Ovis aries: one gene and its partners. Each later gene encodes a partner of the first gene's protein in a complex. Links are inferred from orthologs where the notes say so. Each region holds a gene or a part of one and is shown in the gene's direction. Other genes may lie near its edges.

Region 1 (4,428 bases):
GGTTCTGTGTTACCAGCCTCTAACTGGAGATTGCCTTAGCACACAATCTAAGTATCTGTCAACAGTAAAGTTTCACCCATTTGCATGAAAAAAATGTAGTTAATAAAGCAATTAAAAAAAAAAAGCAAACAGGCTCCAAGTAACCATTCAGCTCTTCATCACCATTCCACGTAACTGTTATTGTTCAGTCTTTAATTGTTCTTACTTAGTCTTCTTCGTGTCTGACTCTTTGTGATCCCATGGACAGCAGCGTGCCAGGCTTCCCTATCCTTCATGTTAGGTAAAAGACGACCAGGACCCTGAAAAGAGTGTCTAACAGGCTTTTTAATGGCGAAGCGCTCCCGGGCGGGGTTCCCGGACCGGAAGGAGGCAGGTCGAGGAAGTCCGCGCCCGACCGTGCTGCGGGTGGCTTTTGTACGCTAGTTGCGAGGGATGGTCAGGCTAGATGGATGGGGGTTTGGATAGGTCGCCAGGGCGAGGCGTCGCGGGCTGACAGGTCCTTCTGCGTGGCTGGGGTGGGGCGGCTTTAGCCGGCGAGGTGTGCTGTCATTGGTCCCCGGGATCCGGGAGGCGCCCTCCCTTCGGGACTTCCCCCGCCGGCCGGGAAGAACAGGGGCGGCTCATCACGGCAACCAGCGAAGTGTGCTGTCATGGTCCCCGGGATCTGGGAGGATCGTTGCGTTAGGGACCTTCTCGCTGACAGGAGGGAGCGGAGGGGCGGCCCATCACGGCCCCCGGGGTCCGACCTTACACTTCACTATGTCCCTGAGTTTGCGCACACTCATGTCCATTGAGTTGGTGATGCCGTCGAACCATCTCATCCTGTGTAGCTAACCCTTCTCCTCCTGCCCTCAATCCTTCCCAGCATCAGGGTCTTTTTTACAGAGTAGAACTGGTTGACTAGTGGTAGGAGGGCAGAGGTGCCTCTTGCCCCTCTCCATGGCGGGGGATGGGGGTGCGGGGCGCTTCATTGTTGGAGAAGAAATTAAGTCACTGTCTTCGACGAGTTGGCCCCGGCGGGAGGGCAGCTACTTCCTTCCCTGATGTTCCCGGGGCCTTGGAAAGGGCCCTCCTGCAGAACGTGACAGGCATTTAGGGGCAAAGGGGAGTCGCCTGGGTGCCCAGAACGAAGGTCGCGGAAGCATGGGTTCTAGGTGGGGGTAGGTGAGGAACAGAGCTTTGTTATCAATTGTTTAATACAGAGGAAAAACCGAAAGGAAGATAACACACATACGCACGCACGCGCACACGCGCGGTTCAGTCTGTTGCAAGGTGCGAGTTCCCTCAGCCAGAAATCCGGCTCATTAGCCTGCATAGCTCATAGGACTGTTACCAGAGGAAGAAGGGGTTAAAAAAGCACTTGGGACAGGATAGGGTGCTAAGCAGGCGTACGTTTCGCTTGATGTGGGAAGTCTTTGGGAGCCGCAGGCCAGAGCCCAGGAGAGTACGGGCCGTGGTTCCGGAACCATCGTTCGAGGGTACCAGGATTCGCCGGTCCCAAACCGGAGCGCAAGCGCCCGGTCTATTTCCCGCCTGCACTTCCGGCGTCCGACCCGGAAGTGGAAGGGAAACCATCTTGCTCTCTCTCTTTCGGCCGAAGTGCGTCCCGCCTGCTTCGTTCCGGCACCGTTTGTTAGCGTGTGGTCCTGGGAGCGGAGTTCTGAGACTCTTGAGCAGCCGCGGCCATGGCGGATGTAACCGCCCGTAGCCTGCAGTACGAGTACAAAGCGGTGCGTATGGGCTCGGCAGAGGGCTCCGGGCGGGGGAGTCTGATAGGGAGCGGGAGGCTGAGGAAGGGGGTTTCAGTCTAAAGGTAAACGCGAGAACCGCGAAAGCAGAGGAGAAGTCAGAACCTGGCGAAGGTGGGGGTACACGGCGATGTGAATGACCCCACTGGTGATTGGGGCTCAGCTCTTACCGGCGTGGGCCAAGAGCTCTGCGAGGAGTGTTTGTCCCAGTCCCGGCAGCGCTCTTCCCGCCCCCTTCCATGTATCATCCCCAACGTGCCCGACACTTTTCCCACGTGGGAGTTATTACGAGCAGTATTAGAAGCAGTGATTGTTATGTTGATTTGTTTGCCCTTTGCTCATGCGCGATCATACGATGCGCTTCTCAAGGAAAACATCTTTTTATTTCGACTAGTGATTATCGACACTTAGTCGCTCAGATTCTTCCTTTGCTGTCAGCTGGCAACCCTGTGATATAGTTGAGTCCTGCTTACCTCAGAGCTTCAATAATATTGTGGTCTTTTCAGAACTCGAATCTTGTCCTCCAAGCTGATCGCTCTCTCATTGACCGGACCCGCCGGGATGAACCCACAGGAGAAGTGCTGTCCCTGGTGGGGAAGCTGGAGGGCACCCGGATGGGAGATAAGGCTCAACGAACCAAACCACAGATGCAAGAGGAAAGAAGAGCTAAGTGAGTATCAAAGGGAAAAAATGATTTTTCCTCAGATGCAGAATCCATTTTCCCTTGGTATTTGAGCAGTGCTTTTGCTGAATTGCTTGGTGCAGGATGAGCCATCAGTGGCATTAAGACAACTCAGTGAAGGTAACAACATAAGAATGGAAAGATTCTTTGGCCTTAACAAGTGTACCTGAAGTGGAAAACAGCTTTTAGACCCTTTTCCAGCATGTGTTTCTCATCCATCAGCCGCTCAGTTGTGTCCGACTCTTTGCGACCCCATGAATCGCAGCACACCAGGCCTCCCTGTCCATCATCATCTCCTGGAGTTCACTCAGACTCACCTCCATCGAGTCCGTGATGCCATCCAGCCATCTCATCCTTGGTTGTTCCCTTCTCCTCCTGCCCCCAATCCCTCCCAGCATCAGAGTCTTTTCCGTTGAGTCAACTCTTCTCATGAGGTCCCAAAGTACTGGAGTTTCAGCTTTAGCATCATTCCTTCCAAGGAAATCCCAGGGTTGATCTCCTGCAGGATGGACTGGTTGGATCTCCTTGCAGTCCAAGGGACTCTCAAGAGTCTTCTCCAACACCACAGTTCAAAAGCATCAGTTCTTCGGCGCTCAGCCTTCACAGTCCAACTCTCAGATCCATACATGACCACAGGAAAAACCATAGCCTTGACTAGACGGACCTTGGTCGGCAAAGTAATGTCTCTGCTTTTGAATATACTATCTAGGTTGGTCATAACATCCATAGAGAGATCTTAATTTTCTTGATGGTATTTTCAAGACTCTTGGTAAACTCTTGTCAGAGTAAGTCTTTCCTTCTATTACTGACTTTCCGCTACTTCTTTGGCTTGCTGTTGCCTGCTTTTTCTTTTGTTGTTATAAACTACCATTTGAGCGTGAAAGGCTGGTGTTTTGTTTTGCTTTTTAGTTGGTTTTTTACCTTGGGGAAGGGGGATATTTTTCCAGACTTTAAAGAATCATTGAACTTTATCTCATGGTTATCCTTTGAGCCTGATCATCATCTGTCCCATGATGAAGTCTCAAAAATTCATAGGTCCAGTTTTGATTAAAGCAGTTATATTTGAGATGAGTTACTTATCATTGGTCCTCCATTTTGCAGAGTATGACTTCTTTTCCAGGAATCAATGGCAGTAGATTCCTTTGGAGCTTCAGTTCTCTGGCAGGGAAAGGAAGATGTGTCTGAGGGATGAAAACTAGTCAAATCCGATCATATAATGTTGTGATACAAAGTAGAAAGGGTTGTCTTTTTAAATGAACGGGGGGGATGTCTCAGCATGCAGTGCATCTAGTGAGAGGATGACGGGATTCCCTTGCTCTTACCGTGTTCCCGTAGAGATACTGCCGCAAGTGACTGAGGCCCGATGGGCATCATTTGCTGAGGCACACATTTGTGGTTTTAAATACTGCCTGTGAATCATGCAGCTGAGAAGGGGAGCGTGGGCTTGCCTTAGTCTTACCATTAACAGGGAAGGTTCTACCTGTTCAGTGTCATACTGTGTGTTTGTTAGGCGAAGAAAGCGTGATGAGGACCGGCACGACATCAACAAGATGAAGGGTTACACTCTGCTCTCAGAGGGCATCGACGAGATGGTGGGCATCATCTACAAGCCCAAGACCAAGGAGACCCGGGAGACCTATGAAGTGCTGCTGAGTTTCATCCAGGCTGCCCTTGGGGACCAGGTAAGGCAGCCAGAGGGTGGAGCCACGCGTTTTTGGAGAGGGAGGAAGTCATAGCTAGGAGGCCCCAGAGGAACCTTGTTTGTGGATTTTTCCTGTGTGGGCCATACCAATATGCGGAAGTGGCTGGTGTTCACTTTACGTGACGTAGCACTTTTTGTGTGTTCTCTCTTTCAGTCTTGTTAACTCTGACCTGGTGCTATTAATATTCATTTTTTATTTTGCTGGAGGGATGTGCGGCAAAGGATACTTAAGTAACTTTCTCAAGTCATGGAAGTAGTGTTTGGCAGAGCTAGGGTATGAGCCCAGGTAGTCTGTA
Region 2 (3,641 bases), on another chromosome or scaffold:
AACAAAGCTAGTGGAGATGATGGAATTCCAGTTGAGCTGTTTCAAATCGTGAAAGATGATGCTGTGAAAATGCTACACTCAATATGCCAGCAAATTTGGACAACTCAGCAGTGGCCACAGGACTGGAAAAGGTCAGTTTCCATTCCAGTTCCAAAGAAAGGCAATGCCATAGAATGCTCAAAGTACTGCACAATCGCACTCATCTCATATGCTAGTAAAGTAGTGCTGAAAATTCTCCAAGCCAGGCTTCAGCAGTATGTGATCCGTGAACTTCCAGATGTTCAAGCTGGTTTTAGAAAAGGCAGAGGAACCAGGGATCAAATTGCCAACATCCACCGGATCATGGAAAAAGCAAGAGAGCTCCAGAAAAACATCTATTTCTGCTTTATTGACTATGCCAAAGCCTTTGACTGTGTGGATCACAATAAACTGTGGAAAATTCTGGAAGAGATGGGAATACCAGACCACCTGACCTGCCTGTTGAGAAACCTATATGCAGGTCAGGAAGCAACAGTTAGAACTAGACATGGAACAACAGACTGGCTCCAAATAGGAAAAGGAGTACATCAAGGCTGTATATTGTCACCCTGCTTATTTAACTTATATGCAGAGTACATCATGAGAAACGCTGGGTTGGAAGAAGCACAAGCTGGAATCAAGATTGCCAGGAGAAATATCAGTAACCTCAGATATACAGATGATACCACCCTTATGGCAGAAAGTGAAGAGGAACTAAAGAGCCTCTTGATGACAGTGAAGGAGAAGAGTGAAAAAGTTGGCTTAAAACTCAACATTCAGAAAACGAAGATCATGGCATCTGGTCCCATCACCTCACAGGAAATAGATGGGGAAACAGTGGAAACTGTCAGACTTTATTTTTCTGGGCTCCAAAATCACTGCAGATGGTGACTGCAGCCACGAAATTAAAAGACGCTTACTCCTTGGAAGGAAAGTTATGACCAACCTAGATAGCATATTCAAAAGCAGAGACATTACTTTGCCAACAAAGGTCCATCTAGTCAAGGCTATGGTTTTTCCAGTGGTCATGTATAGATGCTAGAGTTGGATTGTGAAGAAAGCTGAGCACTGAAGAATTGATGCTTTTGAACTGTGGTGTTGGAGAAGACTCTTGAGAGTCCCCTGGACTGCAAGGAGATCCAACCAGTCCATTCTGCAGGAAATCAGCCCTGGGTGTTCTTTGGAAGGAATGATGCTAAAGCTGAAACTCCAGTACTTTGGCCACCTCATTCGAAGAGTTGACTCATTGGAAAAGACTCTGATGCTGGGAGGGATTGGGGGCAGGAGGAGAAGGGGACGACAGAGGATGAGATGGCTGGATGGCATCACTGACTCGATGGATGTGAGTCTGAGTGAACTCCTGGAGTTGGTAATGGACAGGGAGGCCTGGCGTGCTGTGATTCATGGGGTCGCAAAGAGTCGGGCACAACTAGTGACTGAACTGAACTGAAAGCTTTTTCTGTATTTTAAATTTTCTGTATTGTTTTTCTGTATTTTCTGTATTGCTTTGTTCTTGTTTGCCAGAAAAAGTATTAAAAGGTCAGACATTCTTGAAGTTGATATCCAAAAGTTAAATTATTTTCCAAACTGGGTGAATTGATGCTTACAGCATATGAGAGGATCCTTTTCAGGACATTACTTACGTTTCTTCGAAAATACCTACTAATATGATGGGCTCCCCTGGTGGCTCAGCGGTAAGGAATCCGCCTGCAGTGTAGGAGATGTGGGTTTGATCCCAGAGTTGGGAAGATCCCCTGGAGGAGGGCATAGCAACCCAGTCCAGTTTCTCGCCTGGAGAATCCCATGGACAGAGGAGCGTGGCAGGCTACAGACCATAGAGTCGCAAAGAGTTGAACGTGACTGAAGCAACTTAGCACACTAATATAAGTAGAAAGGAATATCTAATCTTTAAAAAGGAAAACTATATATAAAATTTGTAGTGAGGTTGAACTTTTTAATACTTTATTTGCTACTTTGCAGGATTTTTTTTTTAAGTTGATGCCATCCTTGACTAATTTAATACCTCAGTATTCATTCTTTGGCTCAATACCCTTTATATATTAAGGACTTTTTGTCATCTATGCAAATACCTTCCCAGTTTGAGCATGCCTTTTAATTCTCTTTCTCCTGTTTTTATTTTTGGTGATAGAGTTATTTTGCAAACTTTGATATTTTTATATGTTTTTGTCTTTCACTTTTGAAGACAATTTTCACATTAAGATTCTAAACATTTGCTTTGAAATAATCAGCAAGAATAAAATTAAGCATTTTTTGATTGCAGATCTGGGACTTGGCTAGTGGCAAGTTGAAACTCTCGTTAACTGGGCACATAAGCACAGTACGTGGTGTGATAGTGAGCACGAGGAGCCCGTACCTGTTCTCCTGTGGAGAAGACAAGCAAGTCAAATGCTGGGATCTCGAGTATAATAAGGTATGTGTGGAGTTGAGGACAGAAATCATCATGAGCCCCTGTTTATCTTCCCAGTTACAGATATGTTAACTCTCCTCCCTTCTTTTTTAGGTTATAAGGCACTATCATGGACATCTGAGTGCCGTGTACGGCTTGGATTTGCACCCGACCATCGATGTGCTGGTGACCTGTAGCCGAGACTCAACCGCACGGGTGAGTGCACTGGAGCCCGTCTGTGCATACACGGCCTCCTGCAGGGTGCTGGCTCGATCCTGAGGTCTGTGTTTCTGGATAGAGAATTTCAAGATCCTTACTTTGACCCGTCAGTATCCCTCCTAGTCTTCATCCCCAGCTCTGTGGCCTCGCCATGTCCACTGTTGGGCGCCTGCCCCCGAAATGTGACAGGTTATTTCATTTACACACTTTCTTCATTCTATTCAGACAGGTCCACACAGTTTTCTAGTCAATTCCCATGCTTGAATTGATCTTGTTACTTGCCTGAAGATAGGAATACCTGTTTTCATTGAGGTATTGTGTGCTGTTTTTATAGATTTGGGATGTGAGAACTAAAGCCAGTGTACACACATTATCTGGACATACTAATGCGGTGGCTACAGTGAGGTGTCAGGCTGCGGAACCACAAATTATCACTGGTATGATCCATACTTCTCAAGTTTACGGTATATTCATATCAGGATGCATTATGGTTATATACTTCTTATGTTTACTCTGATTCTTGCTTTGTGTTGTATATTTAGTGTTTCTGTGTGCACTTGAAATTTATTGTGGTAACATTTAATTCTGTTTTTATATCATAAGTTTTATATATCATAGAATCTTTGTATCATGTAATGTCTGACTAGAAAGTAGTGCTGTTAGATACAACTAAGTGCTGTTTTATACTTTCAAAATTAGCAGTCTAAGAAATTAATGTTAGAAGACGCACTACCCCTGACTTTTAGGACTGATCTGAGTCTTGCTTTGCTTAAAATATGGTTAATAGCAATGAATCTTCAAGACTAGAAAATAATTCCTTCCCTTGTTTTGTTCAAATAATCATGAGAGTCTTTGCCTTCCTCTCCACTAGGAATGACGTTATGCATTTGTCTTCACAGTTGTTCTGGCTCTTCAGATTAAGCGTTGATTACATTTAATAATTAAAATCAACCAGGTATTTTGAAAGAATAGAAAGCAGTTAGTCAAAGGTTGATAG
Region 3 (4,376 bases), on another chromosome or scaffold:
TTTCCTAAGGAAGACTCACACTCTACCATTTGGATTCAGTCCCTATTAGCTCAGACTGTCAAGCATCTGACTCAGTTCAGTCGGTCAGTCGTGTCCGACTCTTTGTGACCCCATGAATCGCAGCACGCCAGGCCTCCCTGTCCATCACCATCTTCCGGAGTTCACTCAAACTCACGTCCATCGAGTCGGTGATGCCATCCAGCCATCTCATCCTCTGTCGTCCCCTTTTCCTCCTGCCCCCAATCCCTCCCAGCATCAGTCTTTTCCAATGAGCGTCTGCCTGCTGCTGCTGCTGCTGCTGCTAAGTCGCTTCAGTCGTGTCCAACTCTGTGCGACCCCATAAACAGCAGCCCACCAGGCCGGGGTTCTCCAGGCAAGAACACTGGAGTGGGTTGCCATTTCCTTCTCCAATGCATGAAAGTAAAAAGTGAAAGTGAAGTCGCTCAGTCGTGTCCGACTCTTAGCGACCCCATGGACTGCAGCCCACCAGGCTCCTCCGTCCGTGGGAGTTTCCAGCAAGAGTACTGGAGTGGGTTGCCATTGCCTTCTCCAGAGCGTCTGCCTACAATGTGGGAAACCCGGTTTTGATCCCTGGGTCCGGAAGACCCTTTGGAGAAGGAAACGGCAACCCATTTCAGAACTCTTGCCTGGAAAATCCCATGGACGGAGAAGCGTGGTAGGCTACAGTCCACGGGGTCGCAAAGACTCTGACACGGCAGAGTGACAAAATGAATGAGTGACAACGCCGCCGCGATGCACCATTTAAAAATTTTTTTTAACAACAAAAACATTTGTATTGGGGTATAGCCCATTCACAATAACAATGGTTGATAGTTGCGGGTGAACACGATGCAGCACTTTTAGAAGCAAATGCAAACTGCGAACATGCTTTTAACTACTGACTTCTCCAGATATGTATACCATACGGTACAACTGTGGAACTTTGTCCGGGGTCGTTTAGCTTCTAAAACGTTAATTTTCGGCCTCTGCAGTACAAAATTAGGGATTCCACATCCGGGCGTCTACACTTCATACCAGAACAGCACTAGTCTCTACTTCACTTGTGGGGAAAAAAACACACACAACAAAAACCTTATTCGGTTTTCTCCTGCCTTCCCCATCTTCTCTCAACATTTCCCCTTAGTAACTTCTGCCACTAAAGCCTTCCATTCCGCTATGAAGCGCGCTCGCCCACCTTCTCCCCATCTTCAGGGAGCTTCTTTCTTTCTTTCTCCCACCGCCCGTTCTCTTTGGTTCTTTCCGGCTTCCAATATCACCCGCAAGAGCAGAAACATACTGCACACGCGCATTAAGGCCGTCGTCGCTTTGCATCTCGGGAATGCTTGGCCGGTTTCTTTCAGTCTCTGATTCGCGGAGGCCGCCCTGCGGTAGTTCTCGCGGTATTTGCTGCCGCCAGTCGGCGAGAGAGGCTGCTGTTCCCTGGCGGTCCTTTCTAGCTCATCTGGACGCCGGGGCTCTTGTGTTTCCAGTTGCCAGGTCGCGTATCATGACGTCCGCCTTGGAGAACTACATCAACCGTACCCTTCAGTCGGCTATCGCGGGCATTAGCTAAGGCCTTGGTGAGGCCCACGTCTGGCCCCGGAGTGGACCAGTGCTGGAAAGGCCAGGGGTCGGGATCGGCGGGCGGTTGGGGCACCGAGCCACTGACGGGCTTGGGTCTCGGGGTGGGGATACAGAGGTTAAGGAGGCTCACCCCTGGGACTGGAGCCCGCAGCTCCTGCTGGTCCAAGGCGTCTTAACTTGATGGAAAAGCCGAGCAAAACCGACAAGATTATTCTGAACTTTTCCGTGTCTCTATAGAAATCAGTTATTGATTCACCCTTTCCATTTCCCTCGGGCCTATACGTTCACGTTTGGGAATAAGATAGTTTTACCAGCTGCGACGGTGGACTCACAAATCTATGTGTTTGTTTTATTCATAGGCTTTGCTCAGTCTTCAAGGATAGCAGAAACTTTACAGATGATGCAAAAATCGAATGTCTGCCCCTTTACCAGCTGAAATCTCAACTTTATTGTTGATGGAATTAAAATAATGCTTGCTGTTGTAATAGATCGGCTTGTGGGGCAAATAGCTTTAAAAAGCTCCTGTAATAGTACTCTATGCACCATTTTAAAGTCTCGGGACAGAAACATTACGTTGTGCTCTCATGTACAAATTTGGGACAAAAGTGGAATGCTAAAGGTTTTTCTTTTTAAATGATGCAAGCATATTGATACTTGTGATATTGATTATAGTTTCTTTTGAATTCCAGAAGGCAGGTCCTAGAAGACAGTGTCTTAACGTATTAAATCATTTGACATTGAATAGCACTCATCCAATTTTCGTTTCAGAGATGATGAAACAGGTTTAAAAAAAGGAAAAATATCTTGCTCAATTTTCATATTTGCAATATTCCCTCATTAAAAATGAGTACCAAACATCCCAGCTTGTTTTAAGATAGAATACACTGATCTCATAAAAAGGATGTTTTCTATTTTTCCTTTTTTAGATTGTGTAGTTGTCACAGAGAATTAAGAACATACAATTTTATGTTGTAAATGTGGCTGTGTTAAATAGTTGTATCTTAATTCTGTCACCTTTTTTCCTAGTAATTTAAGCCATTTACTTACCAGATTTTAAGTTTTCAGTTTGCATTCCCTTAGAAATGCTTTCCTTGATTCAGTTATCAGGAACTGTTGCTGTCATTACTTCTGATGGGAGAATGATTGTGGTAAGTATTTGGTGTATTCATTCTCTGCTTTCTTTTAGGCTTTTCTGCCTGTGATGCTCAGTTGTCCCAGACTCTTTGTGACCTCCTGAAGTGTAGCCTGCCAGGCTCCTCTGTCCATGAACTTTTCCAGGCAAGAATACTGGAGTGGGTTGCCATTTCCTGCTGCAGAGGATTGTCCCAACTCAGAGATCAAACCCGGATCTCCTGCGTCTCTTGCATTGGCAGGTGGATTCTTTGCTGCAGTGCTACTTGGGAAGCCCACTCTTGAAGGCTTACTGGTTGTAAATTTTTATGTACAACCTCTGATCTCCAGTGCCTAGGCACCAGAGTACACCTGCATTGCAGTTTTCTTATGATTCAACTCTTTATCTCTTTGATAAATAGCTGCCAATCCGTTTTTTTTTTTGTTTTTTTCATTAATAAACATTGGCTGTAAGTTACATACAAGGCTTCTTCTAGAAGCTTGGATGAATAACAGAATCTGCCCTTAGAGAACTTCTGGTCTAGTCTGCAGATATTTGTCTATATTTTGTATTTATCTTGCTTCATCTTTTATTTCCTTCCTCATTTAGTGCTCTGACATCTACTACATGAATCATACAGGTTGTTTTTTTTTTTTTTTTTTTAAATGTGTGTGTGTGCTTTTTGGAAACTTTTAAAAAAGATTTAGATACTACCTCTATATAATGAACATTTAAGACATGTACATTGTTAATCTTCAGATATTCTTAGGTTGTAGAATCTCGTGCTTCTGTAGAATAAATTATGATGAATATTGAAGTGTATTTCATCTCATTTTTCCTTTTATCGCTGTATCCCATTTTAATTCCAGAAAAGTCTTGGATTCTCTCCTTGATCTGAGGAATTTATTCCATGATTTTTGGTGGCTTAATTTCATTTATAATTCATGATTGTTAACTTTCAAAAAAGTTTTAAGGCTGCTAAACTTTATTGTCTTCTATAATTCATAGAATTTGTTCTTCTATCTTCCTACTCTGCAACTGATGTTTTTTTCTTTTTAATCCTTGGGGTTTTTCTCAGTGGGTCCTTAAGTGGCAATTACCAAGTGTCAGACTTTGCCATTTATTAAACATGTGTCATGTACCAGGCATGTCCCGTGTGTTACATCACTTAATCCTAGTACAACTCTGTGAGGAAGAACTAGCCCTGCATTCTAAGCTAAGAACCTGGATCAGAAAAAGAGTCACTTTCCCAGAGTCATATGAATGTATGTGGCAGAGCCAAACTGGGATTTAAACTAAATTTGACTCCAAAGCCTAAGGCCAGTCGCCTTGCTTCCTTTTTAATCAAGAGAGCAGTCATGGTTTTGTTTATTTTTTTAAGGTACTTCACATTGTATTTTGTCAAATTAAGAGAGTTTGAAATATTTTAATCTCATCTTAACTTTGAGAAGTTATAGCTATTAAGAAATATTTGCAAATAGTTTTTTAGTTTGTGGAAACCTTGGGTTTAAAATTTTTTTTTAATGGTATAGATGATAAATTGGAAATTTGTTTTAACTTTATAGAAGGAAAGCCATTTAAAAAGAACATTTCGAGAACTAAAGTTCAGCAGTTCTGTATTCCTTTGACACATATTTCACTTGATAGAATTTGTTGAGTCGCTAAGTTATGTCCTACTCTT
Region 4 (4,336 bases), on another chromosome or scaffold:
GTTCCTTCTGTGGTGTTCTTGTGACCCTTCGCCCACCTATCGCTTTGCCATTTTTTTTCCTTTTTCTAAATATTTAGAGAGCTCAAAATCCCTGCTTCCAATGGGTCAGACTGCTGAGGGAGACGAGCAAATAGGGCTGGGGGAAATACAGGGAGCTGGCAAAGCACCTGGGGAGGAGGTGGGTCAGAAAGCTGCTGGAATGTGGCACCCCTAAGCTGAGACCAGAAACACAACGTTGGAGGGAGTTAGGTTTCAGGGAAACAGAGCCCAGTGAGCAAAGTGCCTTTAATATGCTAGAGTTGGAAACAAAGGATGGTTTCCTGTCAGCCGGATCACAGAGTCCTCCTGAATGTGTCAGTGGCACCAGAAAGCTCTCATTTGGACACAAGATCTGACACACTTTGAAAGAGATCCCTCCTGCAGGGCTGAAAATGAACTGGGAGTTTGGGGGACAAAAGCGGCCTTGGAGAGAAGCCAGCAGCCTGAAGCAGAGGTTGGGGGGCTGGCACAGAAAGGGCAACGTTAATGGCCCAGTTTGTAGGGCTGTTGGTGGGGGGGGCACCATTTCCGGAGTTATGGAATTTGGGAGAGAGGGAGGGTTTGGAAAATAAAAAATGCACTCAAGGTAACGTACATCAGCCATCTCCAGGTCTGTCCCCCAGTGGCGACCCTTGAGGTTAAGTGACAAACAAGTAGCATGCCCCACGTCCGGGATCCCCTACATCATCTCGCTGACTGCGCACTGTACACTTATCCTCCTTTTGCAGACGACCAACTCAAAGCGGGAACTCCCCTGCCAAGGTCACGGCAGAAAAAGATGGGGCGGCGATTCGACCCCATTCCAGGGCTGGGCTCCTGGACGCTTCTCGACGCCGCCAGTCACTGGGTGCCACGCTGGGCAGTTGACTACAACCACGGGGAATGGGGGTAGTATCGCTTTCAAGGGGATGCCAGGGTCAGAGAGGGGTAGCCCCCGACTAAGGCCACGGAGTCAGAGAGGGGAGTCCCAGAGGCGGTTGGAGACCCCGAGACAGACCAGCAGGGGCCGGGGCGGAAGCGGGGTAGTGGGACCTAAAACTTTAGGTCCGGGCGGAACCCAGTGACACCACGGCTGGGAACGGCGTCCAGACAGAGAAGGGAGACCGGCCGGGGGACAGACCCGCAAGGTCACGGTCGGGCCCCAGGCCCACGGGTTGCCGGCACCGGGGGCGCGGATCCCCTAAGCTGGCCCCAGGCCGGTCAGGGCGGGGTTCTGCGCGGGGCCAGGGAGGGGTGAGAAGCCGGGGCACCGTGGCCGGCGAGGCCAACGGGGTCGGCGCCGCCCTCACCTGGGCCGCGAGGAGAAGGAAGGCCGCTGCGAGCCGCGCCAGCGCCGCCGCCGCTGCCGCCGCCGCCATGTCGCCCGGTCCCCGCCACAGGCGTCGGCAGATGTTTCCCAGCAACGCCCCGGCGCAGAGCGCCGCGCAGGCGCCCTGCGTCTTTCGCGCATGCGCGCAGGGGTAGGTACAAAGGGCGCAGTGGCGGCGCCTGCGCATAGCGACGCGGCGCGACAAGATGGCGGTGAGCGTGCGGCGCTGCTGGTGGGGTTGGCGGGTTTCGCCGGGCTGGCGGGGTTCGCCGGGCTGGCGGGGTTCGCGGGGCTGGTGGGGTTGACTGGGGAGAGTCCAGCCGTGCTCCCCGCTTCACAGCGTTCTGCATCCCCTGCAGGACAAAGAGAAGAAAAAGAAAGAGAGCATCTTGGATCTATCCAAGTACATCGACAAGACCATCCGAGTGAAGTTCCAGGGAGGCAGAGAAGGTGAGGCCCCGCTGCCCTCCCCCTCCACAGTCCACGAGGAGTAACGGGAGGCGGTACCGGTAACGGATGCCTGGGCCGCGCTTTAGGCGCTTGGCTCGGACAACTCGTCCGGCCTGCTGCCGGCGCCGGCGTATAGGAACGGTTACACCCCTTTTGCAGGTGGGAAAACTGAGGCACGCAAAGGGGCCCAAACCTCGCCCGCAGCCACAGGGGCTAGGATTCAGGTCTCTGCTTCCTTTGGGTCTTGTCTCACCCTGGCGGCTGCCCCAGCCCCCCATGGGCCCCCTCAGCACCAGGGTTTCTCAGTTTCAGCACTGCTGACATTAAGACCGTATTGTTCTCTGTAGGGGGCCGTCCTGGGCGCTGTAGGGTGTGGAGCAGCATCTCTGGTCCCATCCACTCGATTCCAGGAGCCTTCTAGTTCTGATGACCACAGGCATCCCAGACCTGGCCTGGTGTTCCCTGGCAGGGGCAGAATTGCCCCAGTTGAGAACCCAGGCCCTATACTCAATTTACACGAAGCCACCTGAGGCACCTTTTGAAAGCAAACCTCATCTCCTTGTTCACCACTGTTCCAGGGTAAAGAATGAGCCTTTTGCTTTTGAGTGAGGCAGGCAGCTCTCAGCTGCTTTGGGAAGCTCTGCTTGACTCTGCATCCCAAGTCAGGGTCCTTTGGTATAAGCTCCTGGTAACAGCTGTCAGGGCTTGGCAGGTTTTTTTCAGTTACTGTGAGGCTTTAACTGCATCTCCCTCTGCGATCTCGTGAGGAGACTGGCAGGAAAGATGATGCAAGGTTACGTGGAGAGTGCCGTCCAGGGCAGAGCCCCAGCTCACTGGCTGTGGGACTTTGGGCAAGTCGCTATAATCTCTGAGTCTGTCTCATCTGTCAGAGGCTGTTAACTCCACTTACCTCAGCAGTGGTGGTGAAATTAAAGGGTAATGTCATTAGCCAAGTTCCTGACACTTAGTCAGCACCCAGTGCTTCACTTATTCAGCTATCTCTGATCTTCAGTTTCTTTGTTGGTAAGATGGTGATTCAGACGACTCCTCCTCTGAGATGTGGACGCCTGGGTAGCATCAGAGTGGCTAAAAACACAGTGCCTGCCCGTCTAGGTACCCAGCCCAGTGAGGCTCTGAATCTGAACAAACACTGGCACCATGCCGGTTCTGGGATGTACAAGGAGATGGGGCTCCTGCTTCTCAAGGCGCTTGTGTTTGTCTTTTTTTAATTAATTTAGCTGCATAAGGTCTCAGATGTCAGGCCAGGTCTCTCTAATTATGCCATATGGGCTTAGTTGCTCCATGGAATGTAAGACCAAGGATGGAACCCACATTTGCTGTACTGCAGAATGAATTCTTAACCACTTGGACCACCAGGGAAGTCCCTTCTGTTCATTTTCTGTGCTTCAACAACCCATTTTTATCTCACAGCACCTGTGGTTCCAGACTCCAGGTGCCTCAGGCTCAGGTCTCTGACGAGGTTGCAGTAAGGGAGCATCTCTGGGAGCCTGTATCTCAGGCCCGGGGTCCTCGTTTTCTGGCAAGTGTTGGCCAGGGACCCTCTGGGCTCCTAGAGGCTGCCCACTGCCTCTGCCACAGACACTGTCCACAGCATGGCAGTTGACTCCTTCAAGGCTAGCAGAAAAATCTAATTTTTTCAACTTCTCTTTTCAGAAAGGGCCCATCCTTTTAATGGCTCACCTGTAGGTCAGGCCCACCCAGCATAGCCTCCCTTTAGATCCACTAAGAGTGGACTGATTCATGGACCTTGATCACATCCACGAAGCCCTCTGTTACAGCCTGACCACAGACTGACGTCTGATCGAGGGTCCCATCTCACATCAGAGGGAGGGGTGGGGGAATGCTGGATTCATCTGAAAATCCCACCCACCTGCTGCGGCACCTCCCCCAGTAAGAAGGGAGGATCCACAGGTGTGGGCTCACTACCCAACCCGGGGCCAAGTGCCCAGATGGATTCTGGGATTTGTCACTCTCCATCACCCCACTTGGTGAGCACCGTCACAGGGTTGAGGAGGGCTGTCAACAGCAGAGGAAGCAGAGCCAGGGCCTCGCACTCAGGCAGGCCTGGCAGACTTGTTCTGCAGAAGACCAGACAGGGAACATTTTCAGCTGTGCTGGCCAGACGGTCTCTGTCGCAGCTCCTCAACTCCACCATTCAGCAGCTGAGCTGCCACAGCGACATTTACCAAATGAGCGGGGCCGGGCTCTAGTTAAACTGTTTACAAAACAGGCGCAGGCGGATTTGCCGACTGTTGCAGTGGCAATGGTGTGGGGTCAGCTGTCACTGCTCGTCTCCTGGGAGCCCTTCCCTTGCTCCCCCTTTGGTCCTGCATCTGTCCTGTCCCTGAAGAGGCTGCTGCCACGCCTGCGTCTGGCTGGGGGGTGGTCCCTCACCAGTGAGGGCACCCCAATTTCATGTGCTGACACCCTCGTGCAGCTCGCACTTTACCCAGAATGACCATTGATCTTATGCTTGTCCATCTCTCTTCTCTGCTTGGTGATTCCGATAAGCCAGTG
Region 5 (4,263 bases), on another chromosome or scaffold:
AGTGGTCATGTATGGATGAGAGAGTTGGACTGTGAAGAAAGCTGAGCGCCAAAGAATTGATGCTTTTGAACTGTGGTGTTGGAGAAGACTCTTGAGATCCCTTGGACTGCAAGGAGATCCAACCAGTCCATTCTAAAGGAGATCAGCCCTGGGTGTTCTTTGGAAGGACTGATGGTAAAGCTGAAACTCCAGTACTTTGGCCACCTCGTGCGAAGAGTTGACTCATTGGAAAAGACTCTGATGCTGGGAAGCACTGGGAGCAGGAGGAAAAGGGGACGACAGAGGATGAGATGGCTGGATGGCATCACGGACTCAATGGACGTGAGTCTGAGTGAACTCCAGGAGATGGTGATGGACAGGGAGGCCTGGCGTGCTGTGATTCATGGGGTCGCAAAGAGTCGGACACAACTGAGCGACTGAACTGATACTATTTAAATTTTACGATAACAATATGACCAACCTAGACAGCATTTTAAAAAGCAGAGACATTACTTTGCCAACAAAGGTCAGTCTAGTCAAGGCTACAGTTTTTCCATTAGTCATGTATGGATGTGAGAGTTGGGCTATAAAGAAAGCTGAGCACTGAAGAATTGATGCTTTTGAACTGTGGTGTTGGAGAAGACTCTTGAGAGTCCCTTGGACTGCAAGGAGTTCCAACCAGTCCATCCTAAAGGAGATCAGTCCTGGGTGTTCATTGGAAGGACTGATGCTGAAGCTGAAACTCCAATACTTTGGCCAACTGATGCGGAGAGCTGACTCATTTGAAAAGACCCTGATGCTGGGAAAGACTGAGGGCAGGAGAAGGGGAAGACAGAGGATGAGATGGTTGGATGGCATCACCGACACAATAGTCATGGGTTTGGGTGGACTCCGGGAGTTGGTGATGGACAGGGAGGCCTGGCATGCTGCGGTTCATGGGGTCGCAGAGTCGGACACGACTGAGCAACTGAACAACAAAAAATGTTTAGAAATACTAATTTCAATAACTTATTTGGGGGGCATTTGCGTCTTACCAGTACTCTTCTGTTAATGAACCGCTTTTCACAAGTAAAGCAACTGTGCTTGCGTCTGGAAAGCAGGGCCTCCAAAATAATTAGGGGGCTCTGTGTGGGAGTGAACGGCGACGAGCCCTTCTTCAGAGAGGTTATCCTCTTCGTTCACTCCCTGGTCCCAGTCGCACCGAGGAAACTTGAACGCCGACTCACTGGAGACACAGTAGGTCTGAAGCAGCCGCCGCCTCTAAGACGCTCATGACACTAAACCCACCTTCAGCCCCAGTACCTGAGCGGAGTCCACGCCCCTGCCCGGCCCGGGCGCGCGCACGCACTGGCCGGCGCACACGCTCTGCGGGCGCGCGCACGCACTCGCCGGCGCTCACGCTCTGTGGGCGGGCGGGCTCACTCGCCGGCGCTCTCGGCCTGTGGGAGCGCTCCGCGCCCGGAAGGACTGCTGAGCGGGAGGGTCCGGTGTGGGCAGAGGTGGGTGCGCGGCTGGAGACGGTGGGAAGGGGGCGGCGAGTGATGCGCGGGTGTGCGATTCCAGGGGTCCCCTCGCCTTGGTTTCTTGGCCGGGGGACAGTGGCGTTCCTGTGGCGGGATCGGGGTCGGAACTTGGTAGACGCGGGCCTGGCCCTGCGGGCGGCGCATCGACTGCCCCTCGGGGTGAGCCCCCGTGAGCCGGGGGCTCCGTGGGCTCCGTGGTGAGGCTCCGTGGGCTCCGTGGTGAGGCTCCGTGGGGTGGGGCCCCCGTGGTGAGGCTCCGTGGGCTCCGTGGTGAGGCTCCGTGGGCTCCGTGGTGAGGCTCCGTGGGCTCGGTGGTGAGGCTCCGTGGGCTCCGTGGTGAGGCTCCGTGGGGTGGGGCCCCCGTGGTGAGGCTCCGTGGGGCGGGGGGTCCCGTGGGTGTGCCATGGGGGGGCTGGGAGGAACTGGCCGGTGATTTCCCTCCACTCCCCCGCAGACCCATTGGCTCAAGATGTCGTACATGCTCCCGCACCTGCACAATGGCTGGCAGGTTGATCAGGCCATCCTTTCGGAAGAAGACCGCGTGGTCGTCATTCGATTTGGGCACGACTGGGACCCTACCTGCATGAAGATGGATGAGGTTCTGTACAGCATTGCTGAAAAGGTAAAGCAGCCACACCTCCCGTCACGTCCTGCCGCCAGGTTTGGTGTTTGCATCCTGTCGGATTGCTGTTGTTTTGCCGGTAAGAATTAAAAGTACAGCCAGTTCACCGGTTAAAGAGAAGCAGTAGGATTCACAGAAGTACAGACATACCTTGGAGTATGAGGATGGGCTCCCTGAAATTGGTCAGAATAGCTTATATCCTTACTGGCAGAAGTTTCCATAGATTCTCAAATTTTTAAGAGGTTCATGATGTCTCTCCTTGAAGAAGTGATTCTTATTAATTTATAGCGGTTTTAACTCATAGGTGTTTTCAAAAATTTACATCTATAGTGCCAGGAGCAAAACACGTTTGCAGCATTTGGCTGAGTGTAGGAGCTTACTTTGAATGGCTTAGTTTAAAAAACTTGACTTTTTTTTGGTACCGTGTTTGTTTGTTGTATGTATTGAGCAGAACATCTATGGTAACAACATAGTAAATTCCCTTCTTTTTCTTTGAGTCCCTTCTTTACCCCAGGGTGCTCTTTGTAAGTGACTTGATTTATAGCTTAGAGTGATACCAGTGTAGGAAACACTGGGAAAAGGTAGAACTGTAATGTTAGAACTAGTTTTCCTAATCCTTAAATTTAGTACAGGGGGTTGTCTGTGGCCCTTTGCTGACAATAAAGAGCAATTGTAGGGTACTGTTGAGTAACTAGGGCTTAATTCTCTTTCTGTAATTGTCTCATGGGTATTTTAAGGTAAATTTGATTTAGATTTTTGCAACTGTAGTAATAGGGCAAGAGGCAAAAATATTAGGGTATTAATAAAAAGTTTAATATTCAATGTTAATTTGAGAGGTTATTCATTTTATTAAAGAGTATAAAAATAAGGGAAACATTGAAGCCATCATTTATTTCACAGGAGTAAGATATGCTAGTATGGGCTGGATTAAAATAACTCCTTTGAGTAAAGAGTAACAGGTGTAAGGATATAGTTTGTATTTAGGAATTGAAAAGTAGTCTGACCTGCCATCAGTAATTTTCACTGTCTCCTCTTTGGTAGGACAGGCAGAGTGAGGTAGGGGTGATGGCACTCTGAACATTAGGGACTATCTTTCTGTGTCTGTCACCGAAAGTGCATCTCAGAGAGTCTGATCCTGGAGATCTGAGATGAGATCCAGAAGCTCCCCCAGGAATTCTGAATCCCTTCAAGGAGATCCAAGTCAGAGCAGGAGTCTGTGGTGATAACCTTACCCTCCTCTTCCTCTTGGACAGAAAGGTGTTGAGGGAGCTTGAAGAGATGCCTGGGGAACTCAGGAGAGCAGGGTTCTTCCAATTGGGTCCTCCCTGTCAGGTCCGAGGTCAGGAGTGAGGTGGTGCCCAGAAGTCATTTCCCCATGACTTGAGCCACAGTGGTTAAGGGCAGAGACTGCAGAAGTCAGTGATGATGGATGAAGACCCTGTTTCAGTAAGTGAATCACTGCTGTGTGGACGCTGATGTAACTTAGGTGGGTGTTCTGGGTTCTGCCTTGCAGGTGACAAGTAAGCATCAGGGGATGTCCAGACCCGGTGGCCCTCAGCACGAGGCTAGAATGGCAGAGGCGTGAGGGTTGTTTGCTGTTCATATCTGAGCAAAACTCAGCAAGATACTCTTAGCTAGGAGACAGATTTTGTGTCAGTGTAAGTTTTTAGGGACTTTTACCAGAATTGTTCTTTTCTAATCCCTATGTAGCGGTCAGAGACCAGATTGCTATACTGCTAGCAGGTGGCTCTTTTTGGAATGGAACCTGTTGGTAAGAACAGTTTAATTGGGCTCACTTGGAGTATTTTTCTCTAGTCTTTTAAGTGATTCTTTTTCTTTTATCCCGATTTCTATTTTAATAAACTTCTAATACTATGTAATAGTATAGTCTTTAAAAATGCAAACTTGAAATGCGTTACACAAATGTTAATGTTCTATTTTCTGCTTAGTGTAAGGGCAGAATATGAGTTTATAATTTTGGAAGCCCTTTTTGGGGACGTTCAACAGGAATTTTTGAAATCTAAGGTTTTAGTATAAAGAACAATTTAACTGTCTATCTCCCTCTGCAGAAATGGCAGATAATGGGAGATCTTCCTCATCTTGTTACGAGCTCTGTTTGGATACCCCAGCTGTTTTAAA
Region 6 (2,585 bases), on another chromosome or scaffold:
GTGGAGTTTAAAATTTAGCAAGAGAGATAGTCCTTAGTAATCACAGTAATGAATGTGCTCAGTAGCTCAGTCGTGTCCAACTCTTTGCAGCTGCATGTAGCCCGCCAGGCTCCTCTGTCTATGGGATTCTCCAGGCAAGAATACTGAAGTGGATAGCCATTCCTTTCTCCAGGGGATCTTCCCCACCCAGGGACTGAACCCGGGTTTCCTGCATTGGTGGGCAGGTTCTTTACCATCTGAGCCACCAGGGAAGCACCCATGACTTAGTACAGCAGGGATACTAAGGCAGACATGTGGACTCCTTTGTTGGACAACTTTGGCTCAAGGTCTTGCAGAAGTTTCCTTAGACTGCCTGGTAGTCTCAACTGCTTCCATACATCCTTTTCTCTTCTTTCCCTCCTTACCAGTCAGGCTTCACTCACAGCTCCTTCTCTATTTTCTTTTTTTTTAAATATAAATTTATTTATTTTAATTGGAGGTTAATTACTTTCATACAGTCATTTCTCCTAATAAAATCTTGCCGTGTTTAATCTTGTTTTGACAAGAGCTTCTTGGAGGTGTAGAATAACATAAGTAGAGTGGGTATTTGAGATTCAGGAAACAGTGTTTACTTCCTAGGCCTAGATCTGAGTCACATGACTTGGTAAGAAAACCCAAAGCTGTGAGACTTCAAGAAAACTTAATGTTTGGTAGCTGTATATGCATGACCAGGTTATCAGGAATAATAAAGTCAAAAGGGGTGAGGAGGAAGATGCTGGGGCACTGGCTGCAAGCCCTGTCGTTGCCTTCTGCCATCCAAAAGCTGGGGAAAGATCTCTGAGTGTCTTGGGGAAGCTAGTATTTTCATTCGGCACCATCTTACGTGGCTGGCTCTGGTTTGTCGGCCTGGCTCCAGATGTCATTCTTTTCCTCCATGATTACCAAGTGGTTGCTACATCATCACGTGAGAAAATACTGGGTAACGCAGTAGAGAATTTGGGATCCAGGCTTTACTTCTTTCCTAAAGATGATCTCATTTGGTCAAGGTCTGTCTTCCAACTTCCAAAAATCTCATTTTTCTTGGTTTCAGCTTTTCCACAAGTTCTTTGCTATGTCTTTTGTCTTTGTAAACATGAAATGTTTTATTTTCTTCACTCAATTAAAATGCGTTTTGTGGGGACTTCCCTGGTGGTCCAGTGGTTAAGAAAGACTTCACCTTCCATTGCAGGGAATATGGGTTAGATCCCTGGTCAGGGAGCTAAGATCCCACATGCCTTGTAGCCAAAAAAACATAAAACAGAAGCAATATTTTAACAAATAAAGACTTTAAAAACGGTCCACATTAAAAACAAAACTTAAGAGGGTTTGAAAGATGGCGGACGACGTGGACCAGCAACAAACCACCAACACTGTGGAAGAGCCCTTGGATCTCATCCGGCTCAGCCTGGACGAGCGCATCTACGTGAAGATGAGAAACGACAGAGAACTTCGAGGCCGGTTACACGCTTATGATCAACATTTAAATATGATATTGGGAGATGTGGAAGAAACTGTGACAACTATAGAAATTGATGAAGAAACATATGAAGAAATATATAAATCAACAAAACGGAATATTCCGATGCTCTTTGTGCGGGGAGACGGCGTTGTGCTGGTTGCCCCGCCATTGAGAGTTGGCTGAAACGAGAATCCGCCGCCTGTGGGAGACGGGCTGTGCTGTGCGGTGGCCTCTTTGAGTGTGGAAGATGTTCCAAAGAGAGACCGATGTGCATCTTGATGCTGAAAATAAGCAAGAATTCTTCCACTCCTGAAATAAGTTGATTTGTAGATAACTCACAAATACTTCAGCTAAACGGCATTTTTATTTTTCTCCAACCCTTCCAATAAATGTGATCGGCGCGATACAGAAAAAAAAAAATAAATAAAAAAATAAAAAATAAAAAAAATAAAAAAAAATAAAAAATAAAAACAAAACTTAAAAAAATATTCATATGTTTTCAGCTCTTCCTTTCTTTTGAATTCTTTTTTTTTTTTTTTTTGGTGGGGAGAAGTACAGTTGCTTTACAATGTTGTGTTAGTTTCTGCTGTACAACAAAGTGAATCAGCTATATAGCTCTCTTCTTTCCTTAATATTTATTTATTTGTTTGTTTGCCCTGGGTCTTAGCTATGGCACACAGGATCTTCAATTTTGTTGCGACATGTGGGTTCTTTTAGTTGTGACATGTAGGATCTAATTCCCTGAATGGGGATTGAACCCCAACCCCCTGCATTGGGAGCCATGTGTCTTAGCCACTGGACCACCCAAGAAGTCCCACAGCTCTCTTCTTGAAGAGGCAGGTGTGTGTTCTGAAAAGAATGGGAATGGAGATGGAATCTCGACTCTACCACTTCCTACATGTGAGACTTCGTGGAAGTTAATTTTATGAGCCTTGATTTTCTTGTTTATAAAATGTAGATAACACCACCTACCTCCCAGGATAGTTGTGAGGATTAAATGAGTTATGGTATATAAAAAAGACCTTGTACATAGTAGATATAGAAAATATTAGTTCCCTTTTAGCTCCCATACCAATGAAAGTCTTGGGAGAGCTATTTCCATTTTAGT
Region 7 (4,281 bases), on another chromosome or scaffold:
GAGTAACACTACTTGGTTCACGATTTTAAAAGATCACTCTCACTTTTACAGGCAAAGTTAACTGTGGGAGAAAAGTGGGAGCAAGAAGATCATTAGGGGACAATTACAATCCAGGTAGAAAATGATGCTGGCTTGGACTAAGGCAGTGGAATGAAATTTGGGGTATATGCTGAAAGTAGAATTGGGAAGACTTGCAAGTAAACTAGATGAGAAAAGTGAAGGGAAAGGGATTTAAGAGGAGCGCTGGGATTCTGGTTTGAGTAACTAGCCTGATGGTAGTAGTGTCCTTTACTGAGATGTGGCAGATTAGGAGAGTAATTAATACCTTTGGTAAGAAAAATCAAGATTAGCAATTTGAATTTTATGAGGGAAGGGACTTTTTCTATGCTTTGTTTCATTTAACGTTCAAGGAGTTCTGGGGGCGTTGGTGGGGAAAGCTTTTTTCTGTTCGATGTTATGAGCTCTTTACATTTGAAACTAAGGTGGGGGGAGTTCAATTTTCATTTGTTTAACAAATATCTACTGAGCATCTACTGTGGCCAAGGATTATGTGATTAGATACCAAGTTGAACTGGAAAGGCAAACAAAATCCATGCTCCCAGAGGGCTTTTGGTGGGGGAAGGAGTTAGGACGATTGGTGATTTTTTAATTTTCCTGTTCGTTACCTTATGAAAACTTTCCCTAACGCATGAGTAGCCATCTTACAATAGTAACTGCATCTAGGGCTCCTGGCAGTTGGGCCACCGTTCTAAACGTTCAATGTCTGTTAGTATATAAATGAATCTCGACAGTGACACCTCCCCTCCCACTAGAACTTAGGCTTTTATAAAAAGTAAATATTTTAACGAACGTTACGAATACAACCTTCGTTGTGAAGACTAATATTTTTGCAGGAATGGTACCTTTATAAAGATCGTGGTTGCCCCCGTACATATTTGTTCTTTCTTCATATCCAATTAAATGCAAATACTACTTTCCGTAGCCCAACTCTCTAGGCTTGTTGGGTCTAGCTCAGGAGTAAGGAAGCAGGAGCCGTTGGATTTAAACAGTTTGGTGTAATCCTTTTCTATGCTCTCTCGCTAGCCGGGGACTTGGTGTCGGCTACTCGGGGCTCTTCGTTTACGCAGTACCGGAATGAAGGAATCTGGGAGGGGGTCGGAAAAGGAAAAGACGGAACACACATTAATTGACTCTCGAAGCTACACAACAACGTTCAGGGTCTACTCTAAAGCACTGATTTCAAATGCCCGCCCCCTGGGCCGTTTAAGCCCCGCCCCGTGCGTCGTCACTTCGACTTCCACCTTGGTCTCCGCTGACTGGTCCTTGCCTCCGCGGGCGCCTGACGAGCTTGGGGTTTGCTTCCGGGTCTTGGGATTTTTTTTTTTTTTTTTTTTGGGCCGCGGGTGCAGAGGTTTCTGGGAGCGGAGAGTCAAGATGGCGTCTGTATGATCTCCGGAGGTAGCGGCGTTGGAGTTCGGCCAAAGTGAGCGGCAAGAGGAAAGCAGACTGTGGGTTGGACCGTAAGGGGCAGTTGGCGGCGGAGGCAGAGAACTCGGTGCGGGCCCTGGAGGCGCCAGACGAGGAAAGCCTAGTGTGGGTGGGGCCGGAAAGGGGTAGTTGGGGGCGGAGGCAGAGAATCCAGTGCTGACTGAGCGGTCCCCACAGGGGCCTGACGGGGAAAGCGGCCTGTGGGCGGGGCCGGAAGGGGCAGCTGGGGGCGGAGTCAGCTAACCGGGTTTAGGCCGCGGAGGCCCAGGAGCTGCAGACCGGAGAGCCATCTGTCGGTGGGGCCGGAAGGGGAAGCTGGGGGCGGAGTCAGAGAGCCCGTAAATGCGGAGGAGGCGGTGGAGCTGCGAACTGGTGGTGGGGCTCCGCGCCTAGCGAGCGTGTCCCTGGTCTCCGATCGGCTCCCGAGAGCGCAGCGCCAAGGCATCTCGGCAGAGGGCCGCCCCTCGCCCCCTGGGATAGGGGTGAAGAGTCAGCGAGTTCCCTGCGACAGCCCGGAGGTGAACTCCCCGCCCCAGGGATGACTGTTTTGGGGGGGAGGCGGCGATGCTCCCCAGAGACCTGAAACCCTGTTTCTGTCTCTCTGGATACATCCCTCTCCCTTTTTTTTTCCCCGGAAAATCTAGAGAAGTATATCATTTCCCCCAGTTTTTCCCTGACACTTGCTTCTCTGACGCTTGAGGATGTTTCAGTAACCACAAACGGGTCCCTAATTTTTGGTTATTACAGTCCTTTGAGGGTGGGCTCTTGTGTTTCCAGCATTTCTTAAATTGTAACTTGGAAAAGATCTAATTTATATTATGTTGGCTGCTACTGGAGGAAATTTGATCAACAAAAGATTGTTGGAGATATTTGCCTATGTAACTGTCATTGAAGCTTAACACACTTTTTTTACTAGAACACTCAGTAACTTTGTCAGTGATTTTTTTTTTAAGATGTCTTTGCTTTTGTAGTTGTTAGCCTGTTCTGCTGTGTGAGGTTTAGATGAAATGGGAGTAAGGAGTCCGGTGGCGTGAGGTTGAGTGGAGATGTTTTAAATTCAGACATGGCTGTACTGTATTTTATAAAGGTTTTGATATGTCACGTCTCCTGATTTAATAACCTTTTGAGGAATATCCCCATTTCACAGATGACAGAAACTTAAACTTGGTGGCTTGCCAGGGGTCACAGATGTTTGAGGGAATGAGCTAGGGAAATTATTTCACAAGGATGGCTATAGATTAATGCTTTTCAAAATGAGAGTTTGTCATATTGAAAATAACTTGACAGTGTTTTTCTTCAAAGCATAAAAGATGACAACAGCAGCTCGGCCAACTTTTGAACCTGCAAGAGGTGGAAGAGGAAAAGGTGAGGGTGATTTGAGCCAACTCTCAAAGCAGTATTCAAGCAGAGACCTACCCTCTCATACAAAGATAAAATATAGGTAATGAAGCCTTTTAGTTTTTGTTTCACAAGCAAGACCAAGTCTGTTAAATGATGTGGTCATGAGGTAGCATGTTGGGGTTACTATCACTCAAGTTATCTGTTTTCATAGGAGTAGAATGTAGTAGTGTTTCAGACACCCAGAATTATGCTCCATGATTTTAAAGTGCTACCAGATATTCCTTAAGCAGAAATTCCAGTTAACCAGGAATTTCTATATGTAGATTGAACAATGACTAATAATACATTCTGTCAGGAGGAGCAAGCACTATCAATACAAATCAGTATGAGATTAAAAGTGTTGCTGTAACAAGCCCTGAGTTAGCATACTAACAAAAAGTATAAGCGTTTTGATCAACCTGCTGCCTTACTATGGGAAAGTATGTTGATTTAGTTTGAGGTTCTTAAAGGTTGTTGATTTAGTTTGAGGTTCTTAAAAGTATGTTGATTTAGTGTGAGGTTTTAGACATCACAGGATGCCTCTTAGTAACTTTTGGATTAGACTGATGATTTTGTTTATCCCCTAGTGGAGTTTTCTGCTTTAGGACTCAGGCTGAAGTTGTGTTTCTTGAATTGTCTTCCATTACTACAGCCGTGTGTTTTTTAGAAGTAACTTTGCCTTGTCTTGTTTCTACTTTAGACAGACCACTCAGGATGCCCCTGAAGAAGTTCGAAACCGTGACTTCAGGAGAGAGTTGGAGGAGAGAGAGAGAGCTGCTGCAAGAGAAAAAAACAGAGATCGGCCAACCCGAGGTACCAATACTACCTTAGACATCTCTCATAACATTATGTTGACAGTAGTTTTTCTTTCATGTGGTAATAGGAATGGATTATTATTTTTGTTTGTTTGCTTTTAAATGTGGGGTGAGAGCTATAGCAGTTTCTTGAAAGATTAGATTGGATTGGATTGATTGGATTAGATTATATTGGATTGGATTAGAGATGATAATGAAGTTGATACCAATTTCATCTTATTATGCCTCTGTTTTAGAAAGAGCTAGGGGATATTTAGCAACTGTTATTTCAATTCAGATTAAGGAGTTTTTGACTATTTACAGCAGCCAGACTTTTTAAGGCCCCATGGTTTCTGTCTATGAAATTCTTCCATTTTTATTTCTAGCATGTGTAAACTGTATCCTAAGTTTCCTGAGGCTACAGTTTCCATAATAAAATCAATACTTTTGTTAACTCATTCGGCAGGTATTTGTCAAGGACTTACTTGCCTGCCACTGTTGTTATAGTCCCTACTGTCATGTTTAAGACCTAAGCTCTTGGTGCCCACAAGTCCCTAAAATGTTACAAGAAATGCAGGATTTGATTCAGTGAGTTAACTATTGTTTGTTTTCTGCCAGA

What was found.
Region 2: SNRNP200 (region 1) and PLRG1 share a complex: the UniProt entries of both Homo sapiens proteins name them as parts of the minor spliceosome. The link is inferred for Ovis aries from reciprocal best matches to the Homo sapiens genes SNRNP200 and PLRG1.
Region 3: SNRNP200 (region 1) and LSM8 share a complex: the UniProt entries of both Homo sapiens proteins name them as parts of the U4/U6-U5 tri-snRNP complex. The link is inferred for Ovis aries from reciprocal best matches to the Homo sapiens genes SNRNP200 and LSM8.
Region 4: SNRNP200 (region 1) and LSM7 share a complex: the UniProt entries of both Homo sapiens proteins name them as parts of the U4/U6-U5 tri-snRNP complex. The link is inferred for Ovis aries from reciprocal best matches to the Homo sapiens genes SNRNP200 and LSM7.
Region 5: SNRNP200 (region 1) and TXNL4A share a complex: the UniProt entries of both Homo sapiens proteins name them as parts of the U4/U6-U5 tri-snRNP complex. The link is inferred for Ovis aries from reciprocal best matches to the Homo sapiens genes SNRNP200 and TXNL4A.
Region 6: SNRNP200 (region 1) and U6 snRNA-associated Sm-like protein LSm3 share a complex: the UniProt entries of both Homo sapiens proteins name them as parts of the U4/U6-U5 tri-snRNP complex. The link is inferred for Ovis aries from reciprocal best matches to the Homo sapiens genes SNRNP200 and LSM3.
Region 7: SNRNP200 (region 1) and CWC15 share a complex: the UniProt entries of both Homo sapiens proteins name them as parts of the minor spliceosome. The link is inferred for Ovis aries from reciprocal best matches to the Homo sapiens genes SNRNP200 and CWC15.

What each region holds. Positions count from the first base shown.
Region 1 is NC_056056.1:104,063,682-104,068,109, forward strand, and holds the start of SNRNP200 (U5 small nuclear ribonucleoprotein 200 kDa helicase), read left to right. Parts: upstream 1-1,555; 5' UTR 1,556-1,685; coding exon 1,686-1,730; intron 1,731-2,254; coding exon 2,255-2,418; intron 2,419-3,940; coding exon 3,941-4,112; intron 4,113-4,428. UniProt on the Homo sapiens protein: Catalyzes the ATP-dependent unwinding of U4/U6 RNA duplices, an essential step in the assembly of a catalytically active spliceosome. Plays a role in pre-mRNA splicing as a core component of precatalytic, catalytic and postcatalytic spliceosomal complexes.
Region 2 is NC_056070.1:3,079,944-3,083,584, forward strand, and holds part of PLRG1 (pleiotropic regulator 1), read left to right. Parts: intron 1-2,299; coding exon 2,300-2,449; intron 2,450-2,539; coding exon 2,540-2,641; intron 2,642-2,978; coding exon 2,979-3,081; intron 3,082-3,641. UniProt on the Homo sapiens protein: Involved in pre-mRNA splicing as component of the spliceosome. Component of the PRP19-CDC5L complex that forms an integral part of the spliceosome and is required for activating pre-mRNA splicing.
Region 3 is NC_056057.1:84,396,424-84,400,799, forward strand, and holds the start of LSM8 (LSM8 homolog, U6 small nuclear RNA associated), read left to right. Parts: upstream 1-1,442; 5' UTR 1,443-1,507; coding exon 1,508-1,538; intron 1,539-2,691; coding exon 2,692-2,732; intron 2,733-4,376. UniProt on the Homo sapiens protein: Plays a role in pre-mRNA splicing as component of the U4/U6-U5 tri-snRNP complex that is involved in spliceosome assembly, and as component of the precatalytic spliceosome (spliceosome B complex).
Region 4 is NC_056058.1:19,032,281-19,036,616, forward strand, and holds the start of LSM7 (U6 snRNA-associated Sm-like protein LSm7), read left to right. Parts: upstream 1-1,535; 5' UTR 1,536-1,554; coding exon 1,555-1,560; intron 1,561-1,707; coding exon 1,708-1,798; intron 1,799-4,330; coding exon 4,331-4,336. Other genes in the region: SPPL2B (signal peptide peptidase-like 2B), read right to left, coding at 1,329-1,535. UniProt on the Homo sapiens protein: Plays a role in pre-mRNA splicing as component of the U4/U6-U5 tri-snRNP complex that is involved in spliceosome assembly, and as component of the precatalytic spliceosome (spliceosome B complex).
Region 5 is NC_056076.1:701,243-705,505, forward strand, and holds the start of TXNL4A (thioredoxin-like protein 4A), read left to right. Parts: upstream 1-1,399; 5' UTR 1,400-1,478; intron 1,479-1,956; 5' UTR 1,957-1,971; coding exon 1,972-2,124; coding exon of another isoform or gene 2,125-2,203; intron 2,204-3,834; exon of another isoform or gene 3,835-3,895; intron 3,896-4,193; coding exon of another isoform or gene 4,194-4,263. UniProt on the Homo sapiens protein: Plays a role in pre-mRNA splicing as component of the U5 snRNP and U4/U6-U5 tri-snRNP complexes that are involved in spliceosome assembly, and as component of the precatalytic spliceosome (spliceosome B complex).
Region 6 is NC_056080.1:116,710,619-116,713,203, forward strand, and holds U6 snRNA-associated Sm-like protein LSm3, read left to right. Parts: upstream 1-1,338; 5' UTR 1,339-1,351; coding exon 1,352-1,660; 3' UTR 1,661-1,963; downstream 1,964-2,585. UniProt on the Homo sapiens protein: Plays a role in pre-mRNA splicing as component of the U4/U6-U5 tri-snRNP complex that is involved in spliceosome assembly, and as component of the precatalytic spliceosome (spliceosome B complex).
Region 7 is NC_056068.1:15,092,321-15,096,601, forward strand, and holds the start of CWC15 (spliceosome-associated protein CWC15 homolog), read left to right. Parts: upstream 1-1,405; 5' UTR 1,406-1,555; exon of another isoform or gene 1,556-2,006; intron 2,007-2,775; 5' UTR 2,776-2,798; coding exon 2,799-2,929; intron 2,930-3,568; coding exon 3,569-3,681; intron 3,682-4,280; coding exon 4,281-4,281. UniProt on the Homo sapiens protein: Involved in pre-mRNA splicing as component of the spliceosome. Component of the PRP19-CDC5L complex that forms an integral part of the spliceosome and is required for activating pre-mRNA splicing.